Drosophila melanogaster: one gene and its partners. The protein of the gene in region 2 interacts with the protein of the main gene of each other region in a pairwise test. Each region holds a gene or a part of one and is shown on either strand. Other genes may lie near its edges.

What was found.
Region 1: the proteins of CG10147 (region 2) and fest interact in a two-hybrid assay, tested with the Drosophila melanogaster proteins (one large-scale study listed by BioGRID).
Region 3: the proteins of CG10147 (region 2) and Prm interact in a two-hybrid assay, tested with the Drosophila melanogaster proteins (one large-scale study listed by BioGRID).
Region 4: the proteins of CG10147 (region 2) and CycK interact in a two-hybrid assay, tested with the Drosophila melanogaster proteins (one large-scale study listed by BioGRID).

The regions. Positions count from the first base shown.
Region 1 is NT_033778.4:19,340,011-19,346,270, reverse strand, and holds fest (wurstfest), read right to left. Parts: upstream 4,463-6,260; 5' UTR 4,188-4,462; coding exon 3,900-4,187; intron 3,704-3,899; coding exon 3,320-3,703; intron 3,259-3,319; coding exon 3,080-3,258; intron 3,018-3,079; coding exon 2,841-3,017; intron 2,707-2,840; coding exon 2,560-2,706; intron 2,490-2,559; coding exon 2,226-2,489; intron 2,048-2,225; coding exon 1,945-2,047; 3' UTR 517-1,944; downstream 1-516. Other genes in the region: Rgk1 (Rad, Gem/Kir family member 1), read left to right, coding at 174-218.
Region 2 is NT_037436.4:6,485,630-6,490,177, reverse strand, and holds CG10147 (uncharacterized protein), read left to right. Parts: upstream 1-1,753; 5' UTR 1,754-1,836; coding exon 1,837-2,322; intron 2,323-2,382; coding exon 2,383-3,243; 3' UTR 3,244-4,011; downstream 4,012-4,548. Other genes in the region: bulli, read right to left, coding at 2-260, 316-708, 765-1,248, 1,310-1,417.
Region 3 is NT_037436.4:8,742,268-8,746,950, reverse strand, and holds the start of Prm (paramyosin), read left to right. Parts: upstream 1-1,640; 5' UTR 1,641-1,865; coding exon 1,866-1,988; intron 1,989-2,619; coding exon 2,620-2,676; intron 2,677-4,527; coding exon 4,528-4,614; intron 4,615-4,678; coding exon 4,679-4,683. UniProt on the Drosophila melanogaster protein: Paramyosin is a major structural component of many thick filaments isolated from invertebrate muscles.
Region 4 is NT_033779.5:22,124,140-22,131,890, reverse strand, and holds CycK (cyclin K), read left to right. Parts: upstream 1-1,748; 5' UTR 1,749-2,167; coding exon 2,168-3,370; 3' UTR 3,371-6,951; coding exon of another isoform or gene 6,952-7,109; 3' UTR 7,110-7,606; downstream 7,607-7,751. Other genes in the region: CG3651 (uncharacterized protein), read right to left, coding at 6,952-7,109, 7,675-7,751.

The DNA of each region.
Region 1 (6,260 bases), on a different chromosome or scaffold from region 2:
ATTTCTCTCTGTGTACCCGCTAACCATGGAACCACTTTCTTCCTATGACAGAGTCAGCCGTGGCATATAGTTCCGCCCCAGCATTATCCACTAATCTCTATCAACAGCCACTGCCAACGGGCCGCTCCTCCGGCTCCAACTCCAGGTTAAGTCTGTTGGAGAGCTTGGTCTGCATGACTGCCGATCCCATATCGTTGTGCTTTTGGATTTGTTTGCAGGTAAACATGAAGACCTCTCATCTTTTATAATATTTGTATATGAAAACCTTTTTTGGCAAACATTCAATTACTTTTAAACGTGCAATTCATTCCTTTAAATATTTACATAGCTCGCAAACTCTTTAAGCCCGAAAAGATTTCAAGTCCTGATGGCCCTTCAGGTGCCACAACTCCTCCAACAGGGTTGTAATGTGAATTGTAGTCGTTAAGCAATTTTCTTGTACTTTTACAATGCCAGAGGAAAGGTATGAGGTCATATATGGTTGCCAGGAGCCGCTGAAAATTGTATCTCGATCCAGATTTAACCCATGAGAATTAACAAAATTATACGAATCTATTACAGTAGCGCAGATAGAATTTACTTTATTCAGGACTTTCATGTATTACTTTTTGACATCGATTTTTGTGCACATAAATTTCGATATACATGAGGATTAAATTTAGAGTTTTGAAGATTGTTGTTGTAAGGCTACACAGGTATAATTGCAAGGCGTTTCACTTTTTTTTTTTTAAGGAATGGTGTTTAAAAGTGTGCACGTGTTTTAACTTTGTTTTCAAAGACGACTGCCTTTTTCAGATAAGCGTTTGTTTCGTAAGCTAATTAATTGTATTCCATTTCAGTCACAATTTCTCACTTTGGCCTGTCGTGTGTGTGTGTGTGTGTGTGTGCTTGTGCATGTGTGCGTGTATCTGTATTCCACGAGTGTGGTAGTGGTACTATTCCGTCTACACTTGGAAATTTAAGCACTAAGTCCACTCATTTTACATTTTACGCAACGTTTGCGCTGTAGAGTGTGTGTGTGTTGTGTGAGGATGAACATGGTTGGATTGTAGTAACTTAACTAATCTTAACTGGTAACTTAGAACTAACTGAATTGTCACTGGTGTTACGTTGGCCAAAGCAGCCGTCGTTTGTTAGCTAATTTTTTATCATGCAGAGGCTAATTTTGATATCAGCGATTTTATCAATTTTTGCTTATTTTTTTTTTTTTGTGGAAATTTTGCAACTTTCGATTTTCAATCTTGCTGAATTTGTTGCATTTCAAGTACGTGTCGAACGTTTAAAAAATCGTTGGAAACTTAATTTTGCTATACTGTGAGGGCCGAAAAGAAGCGAAACGCGAACCAAGTTCATTCTTTTTATAACACCAAACGCTGGCCCTGATCGAAATAGCATTGTCTTGGCCAGCGTTTCAGGCAACAGGTGGATTTTCCAGAGCCTATTCCACCTGAATTGCCTGTACTAAATAACGGTATGCGTATAAAAACAAGGATATCGAGGGCTAGAGAGATTGTAAGTGTGATTATCTAAAACTAATTCCCTAGTGTTTGCGTTGCGCCTACGTCGAGCAATCGAAAAGCAATCCTTCAAGGATCAGGATCGCCAGTTTTCGTTGCTCGCGCATTTTTTCGAGCTGTTTCATCTTAAATGCAGTTATACATTTATAATTTTTTTTGTTTAGAAGACCAGGTTTTCTTAAATGATCTGATCCCTCTCCACGCCGAGGCCCCAGTTTTCCAATGTTGTTTTGTTTGGATTTTTTGATTTTTTTTTTTGGGGGGGTCACTATATCGACGCTTGAGTCGGTTTGCGTGTGTGTGTTTTCTGTGATGTGTGTGTGGTGGTGGTATAATGGGGTGATTTTCGATTGCCCACGCTGGGTGGCTATAGGTGGCATTTGGATGGCCACCCAACGCGATGCACATCCCATGGTGCGAGCGGTACTTAGTAGACAATGAGCAGGTTGTTTTCATTGAATCCAGCCGAGTGACCAGCATTGCGTACAATGAAACAGGATCCGTCGAAGTGCATGCGCTTCTCATTACGACTGCAAAAAAAAAAAGAACAAAAGGAATCTTCAAATATCCGATTAACTGAATTACTGCAAAAGTATGGAATCAATTAAACACTATCAGTGTTATAATCGAATAAATATACGACGAGAACAATGCATTCTTCGAGTGCATCATTATTGCAAATAGGTGTGGATGCAGTGGCCAACTCACCGGACGAACAGGTGCGAGGTCTTGCCCAACGAAGCCGTGCAGTGGATGCCGGTGGTGGTCAGGGTGGCGGATCCATTGCCCGGACTGGTGCGAATCAGGCACTTGCTGTGCTGGCGGCTGACCTTGACCAGGCCGTCGGCCGCCTGGGTGATGCGGAATCCATTGATGTCATACACCTCGGTGCCGTCCTCGGCGCAATTGTAGGTGGAGTTGGCGATTACGTCGTGGGCATCGGACACAAAGGATGGGCCGTGGCGCGAATCGCTGGAGGGTGTTGTTAATTGGAAAGAGGAGCTTGGCGAATTGATTTGGGCAAATTTCGTGCTTAACTCACTCATAGAACACCGCCAAGGTGTAGTCCTTGGTCAGGTCGGTGAAGGTATCGGTGGTGGTGCGAGTGCCAGCTGTGTCCACCAGATAGATGAGGGCACAGGACTCGCTGGTGAAGCTAACGCCCTTGTACCACATTTTGGCATAGCGACTGGAAGAAAATGATTGCAGCTATAGTTGCATAGATTTTATACGAAAATCTAATGAGAAGTACAAGTTTAAATTCCAAAATACTAGTTGTTTGCCACTCTTAAAGTAAAGGTTCGATTCTACTTCTAAGCTTACACAAAGTTGTTGGCCTTCATTCCGTCGTAGGTGACGATCTCCACCTTGGAGCCGCTCTGCAAGATGCGCCCATTGGGATGGATGAGGGCAGAGTTGCTGCAGTTGCGCGATAAGGCGGCGGCAACCATGCTGCGCTGATTCAGCACACGGACAGCCTTGTCCAGGGTCATGTCAATGCTGGAATCGGGAATGATTTGGAATGATGATCAAGGGATAAATCTCCTACCACGTTCACTTACCGAACGCCCTCGCGCAGGCGCAACTGGATGGTGCCATTGGACATGGCAATCGGTCCAGATCCTGGACACGGTGGTGGTGTGTTGTTCTCGAACTCAAAAGTGCGCGAGCTGACGCGATCCATAGCAAAAGGTGGTGGTGGCATTGGCGATGGGAACTGCTGGGTGTGATGTGCCTGTGGCTAGGTAGATATCGCATATTTCTAAAATACGAAACACGGGGCAATAAATCAAAGCACTTACCATGCAGTAGGCTCCATCCACCTCATAGCCATAGCCAGAGTTGAAGCGTCCCGTTAGACTCTTGCCGCTGCGCGTAATATTGCCGGCATCCATGTTCCAGCCCATGGTCTCGTAGCCGGCACCAGATTGCGGCAGGACTCCGAAGCCCGAGTGGGAAGATGCGTGCATGCCCATATTCATGTAGCTGCGGCCGCAGCTGTTTGTCTGGCTGGAGCACTCCTTGGCCAGGACGGAGGTGCTGGTGCCCACGCTGGCGCTGTTGCCCATGCTGCTGCTGCTGTTGCCGCGCTCCAAGCCGCGCTTCACTCCGCCAGTCAGCGAAAGGCTGCTCATACGTGGAGCCAATGGGCTGTTCATCGATGACACAAAGCGCATGGTGGCTTGCTAGGGATTGGTAAGGGAAAAGGTATCACATGGTACATCAAAGATCACTTGCAAAAAATGGGAAGAAAAGATGACTTGCAAAAAATGCTAAGAAAATATGACTTGCAAAAATGACTTGCAAAAATCAAAGAGACGATTTTTTGCATATGCCTTCAAAATGAAGGCAATCCTATGGAGAAGTGACAACTCTACTCACCGGCGATGGGTTGTTGTTGGTGAATACGGAACGCTGGCGCACACCATTTGGAGCCTTGGTGGGCGAGCGCAAGATGTTATTGATCTTGTCGTTCAACTGGGCGCGGGACAAGAAGTCCTCGGCATTGAAGATGCCAACGCGGCCGCTCTTGGGCGTGGCCAAGGGGGCGGGGCCCGGTAGAGCCAGCTCCTCGACATGGGGCTCATCCAGGGCGCCGGAGTGCTGGCACTGCACCTCCTTGGTGCTGCTGGTCTTAGGTGCAACGGTGTCCTGGGCGTCGGTAACCATTTTGTCAAGATTCGATTGTTCAAAATTTATGGGAAAACCGTATGGAATCGAATGGGTGATGGATGATGGTGTTGTTGTTCTTGGTTGAAACGGGGCCTGGACTTTGGTATGTGGATCTAAACGAGAACGGCACACGCGGCGTGCTGGACAGCGAAAATCAAAGTACTCTGCTCGACACGGAACACAACGACTCAATGAGAGGAATTTAATTTTTTACTTTTTATGACTTTTCAAGAGCACTGCTCGCTGCGACAATTTTCGAAAGAATGACTTGCCTCAAGTGCCGATGGAAGGATGTGCCATCAATTCTGACACTCACTGGCCTACCGGGTTTTTCGATAGTTGAAAGTGTCGTAATATCGAGTACACGATACTTTACTTTTCCCTTCGTCCCTTTGAAGCCCTGGCACTTTTAGATTTCCCGTGAAAGTTCAACGTATATCCGATTAGTGCTGCATACTTTTAGACGGCAAAAAGCTGATTGAATTCAAAATAACGCATTTAAGGACGACACTGTAGTGCAACCCATCTCCTCGCTTTTAGTGGCCGGAAAACGAAGTTTCGCCTTCGTAATTGAATCGAGAAATAGACTTGAACACACGCACAGCAGTGCAGCTTCCAGCAATTTATTGCCGCTCATTTGTATAGTTTCTACGCAGCTATAAGCTGCAGCAAAAGACTTAGGCTTTAAGATTTATTGGGAAACTGCATTTTCCGAACGGGAGAAAGTGCAAGAGAAAGTGCCGTCATTCTTATCGATGCTGGTTAAATGCTGAACAAGTGCGCAGAGTTGCAAAGTTTTGAAGCGTTGGCAGGAAATGTCAAGAGTCAGATAAAAGTGATGTTTGCACGTAGCACAGTTTAGTACTTTGCTAATAAAAAGCTATCCCCTTCTAAATTGTTGCTTTAACGTGGCTTAAATATGTTGTCAAAGTCAAACAATCACGCAATTTAAATGTATTATACATTCAACTGAAACTTTTAAATTGACATATTAAATAAGAACTGGCATTTAAAGTTTCTGCGAAATGTAAACTGCTCTTATAGAACTTTCCAGTCGAACAGCTACAAATTTTTGGATTATTTCTTAATGAATAAACACTAAAATCATAATATATTTTAGTAATAGCTGCTCAATCGTTTTTCTTGTCAGTTATTAGCCATTTTATTTGCCTGAATGTTGACATATTAGCCACAATTTTGGCAAACCCCCAAGGTCGTTTTATTTCCATTTTTGTGGGTTCACTAACTCACCTTCAGTGTGCAAAGTCCCTGAACTTCCGGAACTATTGTGTTTTTTGTATACGACTGTCAACTCTTTCCGCTCTCATGATTGATTTTGCCTCTTGATTTCAGTTTTTTCTTGCGCGGATTAGTTTGTTTAATGAGCGCATTGACTCCTTGCATTTGGCCATCGGCCCACGCAGATTTAGATTGACACTTTCGCCATCATATCTATTTAAATGGACGCGTTTATTTAGACACTTGGCTGGCATATTTTTTAAATTTTATTTTTGGCACTTGGTCGGATCATTAAAATTCAGCCACTGCAGCTGCAATTCCGCCCACGCATCGCATTGACTCAGTTTTGAGCAACACCAACTGAAAGTGAAAATGTGTAATATATTTATAGCAGGAATGCAATCGCATATGCATTCAATGAAATACGGAAACTCATTTGTAAAAATCACCCCGTCCACCGAAGTGATTTTTCCGTTGTCACTTTCGCCAGCCGCAAGTGAAACAAATTGGTTAACCTCCTTTTTCAGTATTTATCGTTAAAAATATTCGCAAATATTCAGACAGCTGAAAATTCAGATTTTCAGCGAGCGTCGTTGGAATAGTTTGCTAAATTTTGAATTCAAGTTGTAATTACGCTCGTTTTGTAAAGGCAAAGGCACATTTGATATGAAAACTAAAAGGAGAACATCAGCCAAATGAATAGAGAAAATTCGCTATTACTTGCCGAAGCTCGTTAAAATGTGGAAAACTATTTTCGCCTTCTGCAGTCAGTGAACTTTGGCGCAGACAAAGATCATAAAATCCATACTAGTGTAGCGGCTATATATAGAA
Region 2 (4,548 bases):
CGCATAGATCTTGTTAATCCGACTGAAGATGGTCTCTAGGACTGGCAATAGAGTTCCCTTATACTGATCATCTACCAATTGTCCAATGACTTTTAATAGCATCTGCTTGCCATTGCTGCGTTGCAGCAGGAATTCTGTAAGTCGAATGCGATCCGAAATCAGTTGGCACAATGGTTCAATGCAGAGGTTCAAAAACCACATGCAACCCAACTTGGCATCGATTACAATATTTGGCTGGAACAGTACCCAGTGCGTGGAATCTGCATGGGTATAAGTGTCAAATAAAGTAACTTTTTGGATATTTAAAGAACTTACACAACTCGCACTGCAAGATTTGTCCATCAGGCGAAAGTGAGGGCAGTTTCAGGCCAAACGGTTTGATGGAGCGCCCTGGAGTTATGGGTGTATGATAGGTTATTTCATTGATCACCTCTCCGGGCAGGGAGATGTCGAATAGCAGCGAAGTGCCCGAAGCTTGATGGTGCACCACAATCAGATTATCCACCGTGTTGATGGCGAAGCGACCAAGCAGACTTAAGCGGAGCACATGGCACTTGCGTGGAGCCAAGCCCGGTCCATTGAGCAAGTGCACCTCGACTTCCATCAGTCCGGTGGTGCTATTTGACTGGAGGATAAGCACAGCCAGCACGCCGTAAACTTGGCCTAAGGTGACCTTGCTCTCCTGGACATCGCGACTTGGATTGCCCACTGAAAGGAAAGATTAAAACGCTTTTAAAGGATTTTAACCCAAAAGGATTACTTACAGTCCACTTTGGGCAGCTTGGTGATTACTTTCTGCTTGACCAGCACCGGAATCAGGGAGTTTCCTTCGCTGGTGCACAGTAGAGCCACATTGGCATCGCAGCACCAGGCGAACCACTTGATGCCAATGCTCAGGGATTTCACAGAGCGCACCTGTCGCTTCTCAGGAACTACGGTGTAGACCTCCACGCCGGTATTCGAAATCAGGGCCACCTCTCGATTGTGGACCCAAACAAAGCCATGGATCAGAGTCTTCACCTGGTGGGTAATGATGTCCTGCAGCAGAGGCTGATCTCCCTGAAAACATATGAACTCCACGGAATTCTCCTTTCGCTGAACGGCCAAGATTTGGTTGTCCGGCGAGAACTTAATGGACCTTATGGCACCGCCACGGTCGCTCATGCAAAAGGAGATGACGACATCGTCGGGAGATCCAGGACCTTTGACCACCACACCAGTAGCTCCTCCAGACCGAACAGCAAATATCTTTACAGATATAGATTTTTAGCCATCATCAACATGGATTTTTAACATGTTTTAACTATACCTGCTTGTTGGAGTCATCGAAAAACACATTGGTTAGTTGGCTGACAGCATCAAATCGTATGGGATTTGGGGTTAGCTCAATGTAGTGGATTCCATTGGAATTATCCATTGTTGTGCTGGAAAAAAATAAATAACAAACTGCAACAGCACAACTTTTTATACACCCCCCATTAGAGATGTGACTTTAGCACAGGGTGCTAGAGATGTGCCACGAGTAACAAGCTGTTTTAAGTCACGATTAATTTCATTTATTGTACGTGCAAGGATTAAAAATATAAATGTATTTAACATTATTTGTGGTATGCTTACAGTAGATATTTTTAAACATTTATACTATATTTATTTAACCCCTTCCAACTCACGCTATTATTTGCCATCACTATTGCTATCAGCGGTATTTTTGCCAGCCCTATCAGCTGTTTAGTATACAAACAACAGCGATAAGAAAAAACGGCAGACAGGACACAGAAAAATATTTTTTCTTGTGAATTTAAAAAAAGGTCTCAATAACTTTGATTCAACCACTTAATGGGACACCTGGACAAATGCCGCGTATGCTCCAGCGATGTGGCTAGAGACGACGAGGCCTACAATTTGCTGCACCATCCATATCTCGCCGTCAAATTTTCGGAGTGCACAAATTTGGTGGTGGATCCTGATGACCAGGATATTTTGCCCAGCGAAATTTGCTCGGAGTGCTACGAGCTTCTGGAGAAGTTCCACTCCTTCCGAGCACTTTGCATTATAGCCGACAATAAGTGGCGTTCTAAAAGTCTGGTAACTTGGAAGAAAATAGATCGCAGGAAACCTGTTTACGAGGTCGATGAAGATGAGGAAGAGGAGCTGGAGCTGGAAGAACTTCTATTGGAGCCGCCGGAGATGATTATATGTGATACCAATTTGAGTGCACAAAATACCCCAATAGTCGCTGAACAGGCACCGCCAACCTTGGTATTCCATACCTTCACCGAAAATGTCCAGCAACCCCCGGAAACGGAAAAGAAAGCTTTGGAAGTGAGTTTGGGTTTAAGGTTTAAACAGGAGTGTAAGTTAAGTTGTATTCAATGATTTCAGGAGCCGCCATTGACCACATACAAGTGCGACTTGTGCGCCGACGAGTTTCGAGAGGAGAAACGCTTGATTCTGCACAAGAAGGAACACCAGGGACACATGCTGTATCATTGCACTGAGCCCGGATGCGAGGAAGCTTTCAACCGATTCGAGAACCTCAGGCAGCACGAGCTAGAGCACTCGGAAGTGGGCATGCGGTTTGTCTGCGAGGAGGAGGGCTGCAACAGGATGTACCGGCACAAGGCCTCGCTGAAATACCACCAAAGCAAGGCTCACGACATTGGCAAGCCTTTGAAGACCCATATGTGCGAGTTCTGTGGTCGGGTGTTCAAGACTGGCTCTGCCCTAAGCCAGCATCGGTTCACACACGGTGACCAGCTGGTATTGCCATATGCCTGCGAACTGCCGGAATGTTCTATGCGATTCTATAGCACGGAGAAACTCAAGATCCACATGATGCGTCACCAGGGCATAAAGAACTTTAGTTGCCCCTACTGTGGTCTCAAGAAGACGACCAAAAACGAACTGCGACTGCATATCAACTATCATACTCTGGAAAGGACCTGGTCCTGCAAGGATTGCCCCAAAGTTTGCAACAGCTCAACGAGTCTTAAGAAACATATCCGCGCAATCCACGAGAAGGCACGAGATTATGCCTGCAGCTATTGCGAAAAGAAATTTGCCACCACCGACACGCGAAAATATCACGAAATGACCCACACTGGCGAAAAGAACTTTGAGTGTCACGTTTGCGGCAAGAAATTTATACAACCCTCTGCCTTGCGCACCCATCGCAAGGTCCACGAATCGGGGGATAATCAGCAGACCGCTTGTGCTCTGCTGCAACTGACTAGCATGGGTTAAAGAAGTTAACATATTTCTATTTTAGGTTCAGTGGAAAGTACAACATTCATATCGTATTTTACTTGACTCACAACTTAATTAATATTTACATACCTCCTTTATTGAGGGATTTATTACGATAACGAATTAGAAGAGCAGGGAAGAGGCAATTTTTAATAAACTAGTCTTAGTTTCTAATGGCACAAATACATGCCATTTTACCCTTAATAACGTTAACAAATCAGGAAGTTTAGGGTAAATGGCATTAATTAATAAGCTGTAGTTTTTCTATCTTATCAAGAAACTAATTAATATGACAACAACCCGCAATAACGACAATAAATCTTATGGTGTAGGGTATAAGTTAATGACAATAAATCAGAAGGTGGAAGGTACAAGTATATGACGATAACCCCAAATAATGTTAACAAAACAAGAAGAGATTATGAATGGAGACAATAACCCTTAATAACACTAATCAGGAAGTGTAGGGTAAAGTGAATTATTTTAAAGAAACTGCACTTTTAGTTTCTTACCATTTATGTATGTCAATTTACCCTTAACAACGAAAATATCAGGAAGATTAGGGTAAAAGACGTTTAGTATTATAGTCACATTTGCAACTTACACTTTAAGTAAACGACAATAACTTCGAATACTGACAATAAATCAGGAAGTATAAGGATACGGGGAGTTTTGCAATAAACTTTGGTTTAAGTTATTCACGTTTGAGAATATGCCAAGTTATCCAAATCAGGAAGTAAAGGGTAAAGTGCATATTCTTTTATGAAGTGTAGTTATAGTTTTTTGTTTCGTTCTGTTTGTTTCTTAAACTTTAAGTTTGTTGAATTTATAAAATTGTTTTCTTATTACCTATTTTTTATGAACTAAAACCTTTTACTCGGTTAAAAATGAAATTATATACTTTAAGAGTACTATTGTACTTACTGTATCGACAAATAAATACTCCAATAAAGAACCATTTCCTTTTGGGATTCAGAATGTAAATATCAATAATTGTTTAATTATATTTTCAACTAAAACAATAATGTACAGGAATTGTGTGTGTGTGTGTGTGTGTTACTAAATAAATCGGCAGAGGATTCGCTTCCTGCCGCGGACCACTAAAAACTAAAGTACATCTGCTAAAGGTCGTGAGTCTGTTTATTGTATATGGTATAGTATATAGATAGCTTTGCATACATATGTATAATGGTGTGGTAAATGATATGACGTGCCACGATCATTTCCCCCGGTAAATATGGTGAAATCTGTTGCATTAAAATCGTTGTAAATATGATTCTTCAGTTATTGTTATAGATATAT
Region 3 (4,683 bases), 2.3 Mb from region 2:
AGCCAAGTATCTAAAAGATACGAATGCGAACGGAGCAAGAAACTGCTCTAATATATAAGGATGGTTAGCCCATCTAGAGCTCTAGATGTGTGCGTCAGTTGGCCTCAGGTGAAATGTGTGTGGAAAATGAACACGATTATGAGCAAGCCGAGAAAAAAGGCACAAATAACACGAAATTCGGTTGCTAAAAATAAGCGAAAATTCATTTTTAAGTATAGTTAGGCAAATGTGTGTTTGTGTGTGGAGCACAGGTGGAGGAGATCGCTCGAAGACGAACGAGAATTTTCACTCGAAAAGCTTCGGTTCCTTTGGAAAAGTGAGCCAAAAATCGCCGAACGAAGCGTGTTCGCAATGTAACAGAAATTATTTACACAATATGTATTTACTATGGGGGCACATGGAGAGACCCGTCAGTTGCCAAAAAGATATAATGCAGAGACAGTCATCTACGTGACCATTGAACAACAATTGTTAGATGACATCGCATTGTCTGAGGCTGAGCAGACTGCTGTCCGCACGGCCAAGGATTCACTCAAAATTGTATATTTTTGTTTATTTCGCACAATTTTTTTTCACACACTCTCTACGTCTATTTATTTATGCTGGCGAATAACACGTTTCGATGCCAAAAGTCAAGTATTTTTAGAAAACATTGCTGTAATCCTAATTGGCTGTTAGCGAATAATTTAGAAGGCATATCATAGAAAATTTTGACACTTTTATGATTTTTCTGCTTGTGTAAAAATGTTGTAATACCCCTGAGATCTGTATAGCATATATATTTGGGCTCTATATTTGGCTGGGGTTTCATGCTCTAGCCTCTTTTCTTTTTGATAATAATATATGCTAAATCAATTTGAAATCAATCGATTCAAATATTTACATATATAGTCTCTAACGCTTAAATGTATTCAATATTCTAGATGTTCTAATGTTCTAGAAACCGTTTCCAAAAGTCAAATCATTCTATTTAAGTTTGCTCCCAGAATTATATCTCAATCTTTATAGTCTAGGGACTACGTGCTGGAATACTGGTTTGGCACTACCTTTTAAATAATATCCGAGGCCCCTGAACCAAGAAAATGTGCCAATAAATATAAATTATGAACTTTATGATCTGCAGAGGATGCCAAATATTTCAACATGACTTATATGTATGTACGTTCGAGAATTGGGAAAATTTATGTGTAGATACATTCTGGCCAGACGCTAGATACACAAAATGAAACGCACAAATGACACAGGCTAATTACAGGTAAGCAATAGAAAAGAAAAGACAAGAAAAGCAGGCGTACTTCGTGTTTTTGAGTTTATTTTCGTAGGGGGCAAGCTCTCAGGCAAACTAGCGTGAAAATGCGTTCACACAAGCTTCGGCCCAAGTGAAATGAAAAATCAAAGAATTTTCCACACAACTGAGCAATTAACACAACAACACGGCCGCGTGAAAAGTCACTCGAAAGTCCCACTCACATTCACATAGGTGGTGGTGGTGGCTTATAGATATATCTCAGGGTATATCCCACTCGGATCCGATCGGCGGGGAGCCGATGGCGCCCGACGGCGACCGAAGGCTCCCGAAGGGAACCGAATAAATCGTTGAAATAGACGAATTCAGCTGGCAGGCCAAACCAATTCAACGAAATACTCTTTATTCGAACGACAACGGGATCTCTTGTTCAGTAGATCACCAGCCTTACTCCGACGTTTATTACGAATTTTCTCGGTGACTCGGTGACAACTACAAAACTGCGTGCGGTGCTGTATAGATTTTCGCTTGAGAGGAACACACAAATCATAATACTAGATACGCGAACCGATCGCACATTAATTTATAGAACCAAAATCGAAAATCTGACCTAGCAAACATGTCGTCATCGCAGGCTGTCCGCTCCTCGAAATACTCCTACCGTGCCACGTCCACCGGACCCGGTACCGCCGATGTGAACATCGAGTACATCCAGGACCTGAGCTCGCTCTCCCGCTTGGAGGTAAGGATCCCGTCCCGCTCCGTCTCGGAATCTCGAATTCGAATTCGTAATTGGAAGCGGACCGGTATCGTTTAAGAAATCGGCATCGTATTGGGCACCAAATCCCCAAAAAGACGTTGGAATTCCGACCAGGGAATAGGAATACGAAATGCGTGTGCGCCAAATTTTCTTCAAAATCTACGAGAATTTCTCTCTCTTGTTTCGGTGTCTGTGTAGAGACTGAAAAAGAATCGGAATATAATCAAGAAAAAATACGAAAAACAAACTAAGAAACCCGAAAAATTCATCTACACTCTATATCAAATGCACATATATACCGTAGATATATATTCGTGTGTTAAGTTCTCGGCGCGTTCTTGTGTGTGGAAATATAGAAAATTCGGTGAAGCAAAATTCTAGATTTGTATATGTATCTAAACGTGTCTGTATATACATATGCATTGCTAAAAAATTATGTAATGGCCACCTCTGGGCAATACATATACACGAGAAAACATCGAAGAAAAATTTGTGAAGAAATCAATCAACTGTGCTGTAAAGTGCTTTTTAATGAATGTTTTAATCAAATAATATGAAATAACGAGCCCATAAAAGATCAAACTCAATAAATGTATCCACCATTTTCTTGCAGGACAAGATCCGTTTGCTCCAAGATGATCTTGAAGTTGAACGTGAGTTGCGCCAAAGGGTGAGTCATTCAATATGGAAATATTCATAATTTTAAATATTTTTAAGTTATTTTTGAACCGAGTATTTTTAAGGTATTACTATAGGTTTCTTTGGAATATTTTTGAACATTCTTAATTTATTGAGAGCATCGTTTTTAGTCAATAAGATTATTTGCTGATGAAATCGGCGTCAGAGATATGACATATCCGAGGAAGTTAGAAAAGATCAGACCGCATTCTCCGAGACCCAATGGAAATCAAAGCGCCAGGGAAAACCATTTTTACTTTTTTCACCTCGCAAATGTCACCCTAAAAACAGCAAAAATATGTGGAAAGCCAAAATAAAATCAAAATAGACCAAAGTAGCAGTAGCGATAGAACCGATAGAAAAGTCAGCAAACAAATGCAAATCTAAGAATAAACTACCCTTCGTAGAGTTTCGAAAGTGTGAAAGTAAATGATAATGATGTGCATTGAACTTCAATCGCTTTCGTTTTTGGCTTTTCCTTCCCTGCGGAGCATTGATAAATGATTTTTCCCCTGACTTTGCAAAGACAGCGGCCGCAAAGACAGCAAAGTCAGGAACAGCCAGAGAAAAGTGGGAAAATTCGCAGGCCGAAAGTGCACTTCATTCAGCGCAATCCTCTTGGGCGTTACAAATTTAGAAAATGCGAAGAGCTCTTGCCGGAATGGAATGGGCTGGCCAGGAATGTTCTGAAAATTTTGTTAAAAAATCAAATTTAATTACTTTGTGCCTTATGGATTAGCACGCACTCGCACACAGATACAACGCCCCCCAACACACACTCACAATATATGGAACAAAATGGCTAAAATTAGCGCACGACATTCAATACAGAGAAGCGAATGATTAACTTGAAAACAACCAAAATATGAGCAGAGAAGAAAAGAAAATAAAGTAGCCAAAAAGTCATCATCATCACCATCTTCATGATCAGCGGCGGCAGAGAGGAAAATTCGCTCGCTCACTACGGGAAAATCTTCGCTTTTTGTCTGTGGGCGTGTGTCTGTGGGAAAATTAAATAATTTTCATGCACATTAAAAGTCTTCACACCGCCTGGCATTCTTTCTACATATCCACATATGCATATATAGGCGGCAAAAACATGTATCTACAAGATACATATGGCGCAAATGGATTTACGGCCCGTACTTACGTGGCCTTTGTGGCAATCGGCAACTTTTTGTTATGCCAAATGAACGGACAAACACATGTTCGCCTAGGTATTATCATAAACATAAATGTACAAACATATTCAGCGAGAGATTTAAAAGAGATTTATCAGACCAATACGTTCTTTATTTAAGCTTGGGGCATTTCAGTTAGCTGAATTTTTTATGATTGCTTCGGACAGCTCCAAATACCAGAAATCCCAATGGCCGCACATAGCTTTCATAAAATAGCATTTAATTGCAATTCGCAAAATTGACCAAACGAGGTCGTCGACAAAGGCGAAAAGCAAATGTTTAGATTCCGAGGGAGCCAACAAAAAATGTTTCTGTTCAAGCGAAAAATGTTCGAATGCCTTTTTGGAAATGCAATCTAGGAAAGCGGTGTGCGGCCGCCCACAAAAGATATATACGCATATATAGACGCATATATCGTGGATGCAATCGGACTATGGCTACACCTCTGCGTGGAAGATTTCTTGGCAAGATGCCATTGTTATTTTAGGTGTTGCATGTGCATAATTATTTTTGACTGATTAATGTGATTTATAATTTTTATTATGGGCTGTTTGAGTAGCCACAGAGCATGGCTAGCGCAGGGTATTTATAGATCCTTCACATTATACCAAGTCGCTAATGAAATCTCTTCTTAATCTCTGCTTATATTCTTCAAATTTCAGATCGAGCGCGAGAAAGCCGATCTCAGCGTTCAGGTCATTCAGATGTCCGAGCGTCTCGAGGAGGCCGAGGGTGGTGCTGAACATCAAGTGAGTACCATGTGGTAAACCAATATTGCAATCCAGCCATAACTGATGTATCTTCCAATCCCAGTTTGA
Region 4 (7,751 bases), on a different chromosome or scaffold from region 2:
TTTAAACAAAATCGGAAGGTACTAGTCAGTAAGCATTAATTATTATTTTTTAAATAAGGCAAATATGTATATTTTAAAATATGAAATACATGTATGTATGTCCGTATAAATAAAACCGTGAAATCAAATGTCGATTAAGTCATTTGACATAGCCAAGCCAGGAAATTTGCGGCTGATCCAAAAATATCTACCTGAGTGTAGCATAGGTGGGATAAATTTGGGCAATACGACCAAGATCGTCATCGTTCTCCAATTGGGAATCCTTCCGTGTACGCCGAACTGGTAGGCTGGGCATCGCTTAGCTTCGAACCCAATTACGAATATAGCAAATTTATACGCGGTATTTGTAGCTTTCCCAGGATAACAACACAATCCGCATAGACGGAATCTGCGATCAGGGGTGATCAAACGTTAGAATTTGCACAACATTTGGGTTTGTTTACCTTTTTGAAGTTCGAGATCGTAATTGCTTGTCTTGTGAGACGTAGATAGTTTTCAACGTTGGGGGTACTCCGGCCTTGGTTGTTAACCGCAACCAAATACTTAGCATGCAATTGGCGCAGTCGAATGACGGAAATTCACATTCCCTAAGTGCTCGTTAAATAGAAGTTAAAATACTAGAATTGTATACATATACTGAATCACTTGGTGAAAGAAATATAAAATGTTTGTTATCACTGATAAATTTTAATATACATTTTTAAATTCAATCAAAGTCAATTCCATATTATCTGTACTTCATTAAAAAATATAATATTATTAAAACAATACGATCCCCACCGGCGTTGTATATTTTCACCGATTTTACGTGTTTCATTCATTCTTGAGTTTCCCCTGATACGTGTCTGCGTGCTGCTGGATGTTCTTTGAGTTTTGTAAAATTTTATTTAAGTCAATGATCACTTGAGCGGTAAGGTTTGAAAATATGTTCACTAGCCTAAGTGCATGATTCAAAGAAAAATATACATAACATTTTCTACGTTAAAAAGAAGCATCTCGACTGATTTGGTTGTTTCGCTCTATCAAGCTCACGTTTCGGTTTTCCATTATTATGTAATTTGAGTGATATATATCGATTTTTAAGAATTTAACACACATTATAGAAACATAAAAAATATAGAAACATAATAAAATTATAGTGCCATCACTCGCGTTTATATTAATAATAAAAGAAAGAATACTATAGTCGAGTTCCAAGGCTATCAAATAACCGTTACCAGCTAGTGTGAATACAAACGCGAAATTGCATCAATTTTATGGAATATCGATAGATAATGGGATATAAAATGATAAAAAATTTCAAAATTGTTCCAAAGTGTGGCATTAGGGCGTTAGAGTGCGCGTGGCAAAAATTTTATTGACAAATCGATAGAAATTAAAAAGACTAATTAAATTATAGTCAGATCGACTAGGATATTGGTCCTGATCAAGAATATATATACCTTAAATGGTCGGAATACGAAAATACGACTAACGGTTATAATAAATTCATCACCACATTACTAGAAGTAATTACTATTAAATAGAAAGCGCTTACACTGCTCATAATCTTGTTATTACATTTTATAATGTTTAACGAATGCTATCTATGCTTTAAATTGAAATACTTGTTATCCAGTAGGATTATACATAATGAATTATTTCAATATACCATTTAACAACAAAACAAATTGCGCAATTCCCATCACTAATCCCTATGCTTGGTTTGATATCTCCAAAACATGGAAATGCGATTCCAGTGTAAACATCCCATTTGTTCCTCGTAACAGTCAAAGGACGGCCAAAACCACGTGTAAATATATCTGTTTAATTATATCCCAAAATTAAGTCACCAAAACTAGCAAACGCACAAAAAATATTCAGTTTGACCCGCAAGAGATCGAAAATTTTTGCGTTATCTATTTACCAATAAAGTTGTTCCATATACTCAAAATCGTCGTGGTCTTGGTGTAAAAGGGGCTTCCAATAAAGTTTTTTTCTTCATCGTCGTAGACATGGTAACACTGCAAGTGAACATAAAAATCGAAAACTGATTTATTTACAATAAACAAAAGCGCTTATCGGCTCCAGGACGCGCATATGCTGACAACCATTTGGCTAAAGGTTTAACACAAATTCCTTCCAACGACGCGGACTACTGGTAGTACCCGCAGCCTAAATTGCCGCGATGCCGTGCTGGTATTACGACAAAAAGGAGCTGCGGGAGACGCCCTCGATCTTGGATGGAATAAGCTTCGAAACGGAGCGGCGGTACAGAAAAGAAGGTGCTCGATTTATTATGGAATGTGGCACCAAAATGGGCTTGGGCCACAACACGATGGCCACCGGCGTTGTATATTTTCACCGATTTTACATGTTTCATTCGTTCCGGAGTTTCCCCCGGTACGTGACTGCGTGCTGCTGCCTGTTCTTTGCTGGCAAGGTGGAGGAGACGCCAAAGAAGTGTCGCGACATTATTAAAACTGCGCGTGGCATCCTTACCGACAATTACTTCTACTCGTTTGGCGACGACCCTAAGGAGGAGGTGATGACGCTAGAGCGTATTCTGCTGCAGACCATCAAATTCGATTTGCAAGTAGAGCATCCTTACACCTTTCTCCTAAAGTACGCTAAGTGTTTCAAAGGCGACCAGCAGAAGCTGCAAAAGATGGTGCAAATGGCGTGGAACTTCGTCAACGACTCTCTCAGCACAGTAGTTTGTCTACAGTGGGAGCCGGAGATTATCGCCGTGGCTCTTATCCATTTGGCCAGCAAGCTAAGCAAATTCACTGTGCAAGACTGGGAGGGCCGCCAGCCACAGCAGCAGCGTTGGTGGGATATGTTTGTGTCTGATGTAACGATGGAAATACTCGAAGACATCTGCCACCAAGTTCTGGACCTGTACCAATCAACCCAAAAAGAAGCGCTCCAGCCAACCAGTCCGCCCCAAAAGCCACCAAGCAGAGCCGACAGTCCAAAATCCGGCAAGCTTACCAATTCTACGGGTATTGGACCACTTTCCGTTCCACAACAGCCGCCGCCCCCCGTATGTGGCAACGGTGGCGTGCTGGAAGTTAGCAACATTCAGAGCATTAAATCCCTAGCCAGTGGCGTGCCAATCATTGGTCCTAGCGACTCCCAGAACCTGTTACAGGGCCCAACACCACCAGGTCAGCCATCCGGGTACCACATTTATCATGCTCCTCCACCGCCGCCCCCGCCGGTAGTGCCTATGCCGCCGTACCCCTCTTCCGGATGGGGAGTCCAGCAGACAGTGGTCGGACACTATAGCGGGAGCGCTGCACCACCACCACCAATGCCGCCTAGCTTGCCTCCAGGAGCCAGTGGATACTACAACGCCGGTGGGCGTCCATCGCAGCAGCGCTACTAGTAGATGCAATGACTAATAAACAAGTAAAAAAAATTTGTATATTAAAACTAGCGAACCGTTCGGAATAGGATTTAGAGCGGGGATCTTCGTACGGTTCGGTTTTCTTTTTTGGTTACACTCTAGGCCCAATATTGTCCCGGGGTATTTATCAATGATTTTTATTCCCTTATTTTAAGTCCTTACCCTTTCACATGTACTTGTTAGCAGAATTTTGCTGAAATGATGTTTCCAAAACTGAATAAAACCAAATGAACTAGAAAAAAATATTTTGGACATTGGGGCACTAACAAAAATAGATTCTTATTAAAATTGGCGAAACGTTGAGACAAAGCGGAATTGGAGTAACGGCGAAGTTTATAACAGTGGAAGATAAACATGAGAAATATGTGAGAACAATTTTTCAAAAGTGTGGGCGTGGCAGTTTTGGGGGTTTTGTATGTAAAAGGAGGGGCGTGGCCAGTGTTTTTGGTATGCAGATAAAAATTGGCAAGTCAAACAATAAAACGAAGAAAAATCTAAAAATTTTTAAATAGTGTGGCGCTATGTGTCTCCGCAAACTGTATGCTTAATCTCAACCATCTAGCTTTTATAGTTCATGAGATCTCGACGTTCATACGGACAGACGGACAGTCGGAAAGTCAGATATGGCCAGATCGACTCGACTATTGATCCTGATCAAGAATATATATACTTTATATGGTCGGAAACGCTTCCTTCTGCCTGTTACATACATACTTACAACGAATCTTGCACCTTTTACTCTACGATTAATGGGTATAATAACTCTTTAGATGTTTGAATAATTTTTGGAATGATACATAGTGTGCGAAGATTGCTCGGCTATCAGAAACAACAGTGCAGTTTTGCAGTTTCCATGGACTTTATTCTTGCCCATGGTACACTTGGAATAATAACGACTGCCCAGGCTACCTCGATTCGTATGTTTATTATAAATATAATTATGTCGTAGGCCAACGGTTTCGTTTTCCAGGCTAAAGACGAAAATGTTCGAAAATAATATTATTGACTTTGTTCGATGTTCTTCAATTTAATTTAATTTTTAAATGGTGTTAAAAATAATTAATTTCCTTTTATCTTTCAAATTTTATAAAGTCGATTTCTCTGAAACCAGGCTCTTTGATGTGATACTTACCGCGCTCTGCTTTCGAAACATCAACTACTTTGTCTCAGTTCGTTGACTTGCTTCGTTACAAACGTCTCGATCTTTTCGCTAAAAGATCTAGCTGACTTTTAGTTCTCCCGCGCTCTAGGTCCAAGGACCTCTATTTCACCAAAGACACTATGATAATTTTAGTAATTTATAAATTAACTAAACAAAATAATTTTAGTTTGGTATTATTCTAGTGTTGCTTTACCGTAAGTTGGCTATATTTAGACCAGGTATTCGGATACTTCATTTTTATAACAATTGCAAATATAGTGGTAAAACACGAAAAAATTAACAAAATATTTTTGCGGTTATACATAAATTTTTCAATGCAGAAATAATTTCTCAGAAATAATAAAATATTATATAAATATCAATATGAAGAATATGAATAAGCTTTAGAGTATTACTTATTGCCGTTTTATCAAGGGCTAAATAACACATCTAAATAAATAGTGCAATAGGAAAAGGAAAGTTTTATATTATATATTAAGGTTTAAAGCTAGGGCATAATCTATTAGACTAAAATTTACATTGTGTTCTGATCACTACCCACTTATTGCCATATATGTTGCAGGAAAGGTCTTCCGTTGATGTTTTTCGCCAGAATGCTATGGTACTTCCAATGAAGCTGAGTTTTTGTCAAGGGATCTACACGTTTGTCGACCTTGTGAAAGACAAAAGCCAGTTCTGACTGGATTAAAAGTTTGCATTTGTTTGTGCTCTACTAGTATGCCTGGCATACAGTTCTGTACAGTTCAAGTCTTCAAGTCGTTATGATATAGGACCACCTCTGTCGAAGGGAATAAATTAAGATCGTACTTGTCAATACTCCAACTAATTTTATTGAGTAAATCTAACAGTACTTAAGAGTAAGAGTTAAGATTCACATAATATGCTTATGCCAACAGAATTGTGTAAGACAACAAATTTTGGGTAAGTGGTAATGCTATATAGCCAACTGGACAGAACATGTTTATGCCAGTAAGTCGTTCACGACCTGAAAAACGATAGTCCGTGTTGGACTAACACTTTTACCTGAAAAATAACATTCTCCTGGCCGTTGAAGTGTTAAATAAGTAATTAAAGAAGATTGAATTTTAAATTTAAAACAGCAGAAATTCTTGATTTGTTTTTTAGTAGCCGGCTTACTAACTATACGCGTGACTCGTATAGAGAGAGTATACTAGATTCGTTGTAAAGTAACAGTGACATTCATACGTGCTAGAAACTAACTTGTGAGTTTTAAAGCAACACAAAAATTTGGACCAGCAAGAAATATGTCGTTCTATACGCAGGGAACTCTTAGTAGAAACTTATCAGCTAATTCAATGTAGTTATAAACCGCTTGCAAGATCCCTTTCTTATAAAAAGCATAGAGTATAATAAAATTCTGATTGTCTTAATTCGAATGTAGAGCCTTTTTCCTGTCTTTGAGCTGGCCCACCAATCCGAGAAATATTTTTTCCAATATATGTGTGGTGTGTATCTCATACTGTTTTGTTTTCAGACATGTATATATATATAACGCTAAAGTAAGATTAAAAACGAAAGGCGGGTAACAACGAAGACGAAAGAAGAATTCAGGAAGATGATGATCAACTGAGATGAGTTGAGTTAGAAAATGTTTTTTATTATATTATTTTTATTTATATTATCCAAAAATCTGCAGTAGCAATTATGTTGCGTCACGGCCCTTGAACGACGTGCAGAACACAGCCAGCCTTATGAGAAAAGTTTAAGCACTTGGATTGCAGTCGTTAAAAATTCTTGCTGTCAAACAATTAAAAAACTGTGACCTTATGTTACCCTTGCTGGCCATGTTTGTTTTAAATAGGCTTCTGTGTCACAATTATTTCTAACGCATGGCGCTCACTCGCTAGCAAAACAATCTAATGCAAAATTCGAATAACAAAACAAGAGAGAATGCTATATATTTCCCTTATATGACCGGAAAACTATGTACCTGTTACATATGTTTCAACGACTCTAGTATACCTTTCTACTCTACAAGTAACGGGTATAATTACATATGTATATGTACATATGTACATACATACATATGTATTACGTATTCCGTAAACAAATATGCACATTACAATATAAGGCGTTGATAGGCGAGGCAGATACATATATTTGTATTGATACCTGTATATTATGGCCTACATAGAAAACATTTTTGAGCTTTAAACACCAACTAAACTTTGAGTTTCTTTATTTTCTTTTTTTTTTAGAGCGGAGAGACTTTTGAACCCGACTTAAGCGGTGGGTCACGGCCATGCGATCACCTGATTTAATATGGAAGATGACTTATTAAAAAAAATTAAACAATAAAACTGGGCTAAGCACTTCTAGAGAGATGATGTGTATCCGGCTTAATGTGAAAATAAATGAGTGGTTGTGCAAATACGTCCTAACATTTGCGGGTTAGAGTCAGTACCCCACTCATGTAATACTGCGGGATCATTAAATATTCGGGCAGGGTGCGTTTACAAAAGGAGGTTGACGACGATGCCTGTGCTTGTGTGGATGCTGCTACTGTTGCCTGACGCACGATGTGACCAACCTTTCCTGAAAAAAATAGAATGTTATTTTGTAAAAAAAAATAACAATTTAATACAATTTGAAATGACTTGTATTCTGCGTTAACCTTACAAAAATTGTTACGCCCACTGGCTAAGTAACGGAAATCTGAAATTTGAATAAATCGACTATAAGATTCTCTCGTCATTAATTGACTTCCCTAAAGTTCTTAGGGTAGCAATTATGTAGTCTCACGGACTAGCCTAATTAAGGTCAAATTGCTTCCCTCTTGCGTATATTGGCAAAATTTCATTAGTTTACAATTAAAGAAAAGAACTTGTTTAGTGTCTCTGTGTCAGGGGTAACAATACTTACTAATCCATATATATATATTTGTATATCTATCGATATTCCAGAAAAATTATGAAATTTCGCGATCGCATTTCTACTAGCTGAGTAACGGGTATCTTAAAATCGGCGAAGCCGACTATAGCGTTCTATTTTATGATTAGAAAACATTTTTCTTACTGAATATGTAAATATGTAATATATCAATACCGAGTAAAACTTTTATATACAAACTATGAAAAAACAACTCTATAGAACATCTTACCCATCACGTTTGCGCAATGAAAGCGGTCATCTAGTTGCTGAAGGAGGGAAAGATCTCGACAACGTGCCCAGGCATTA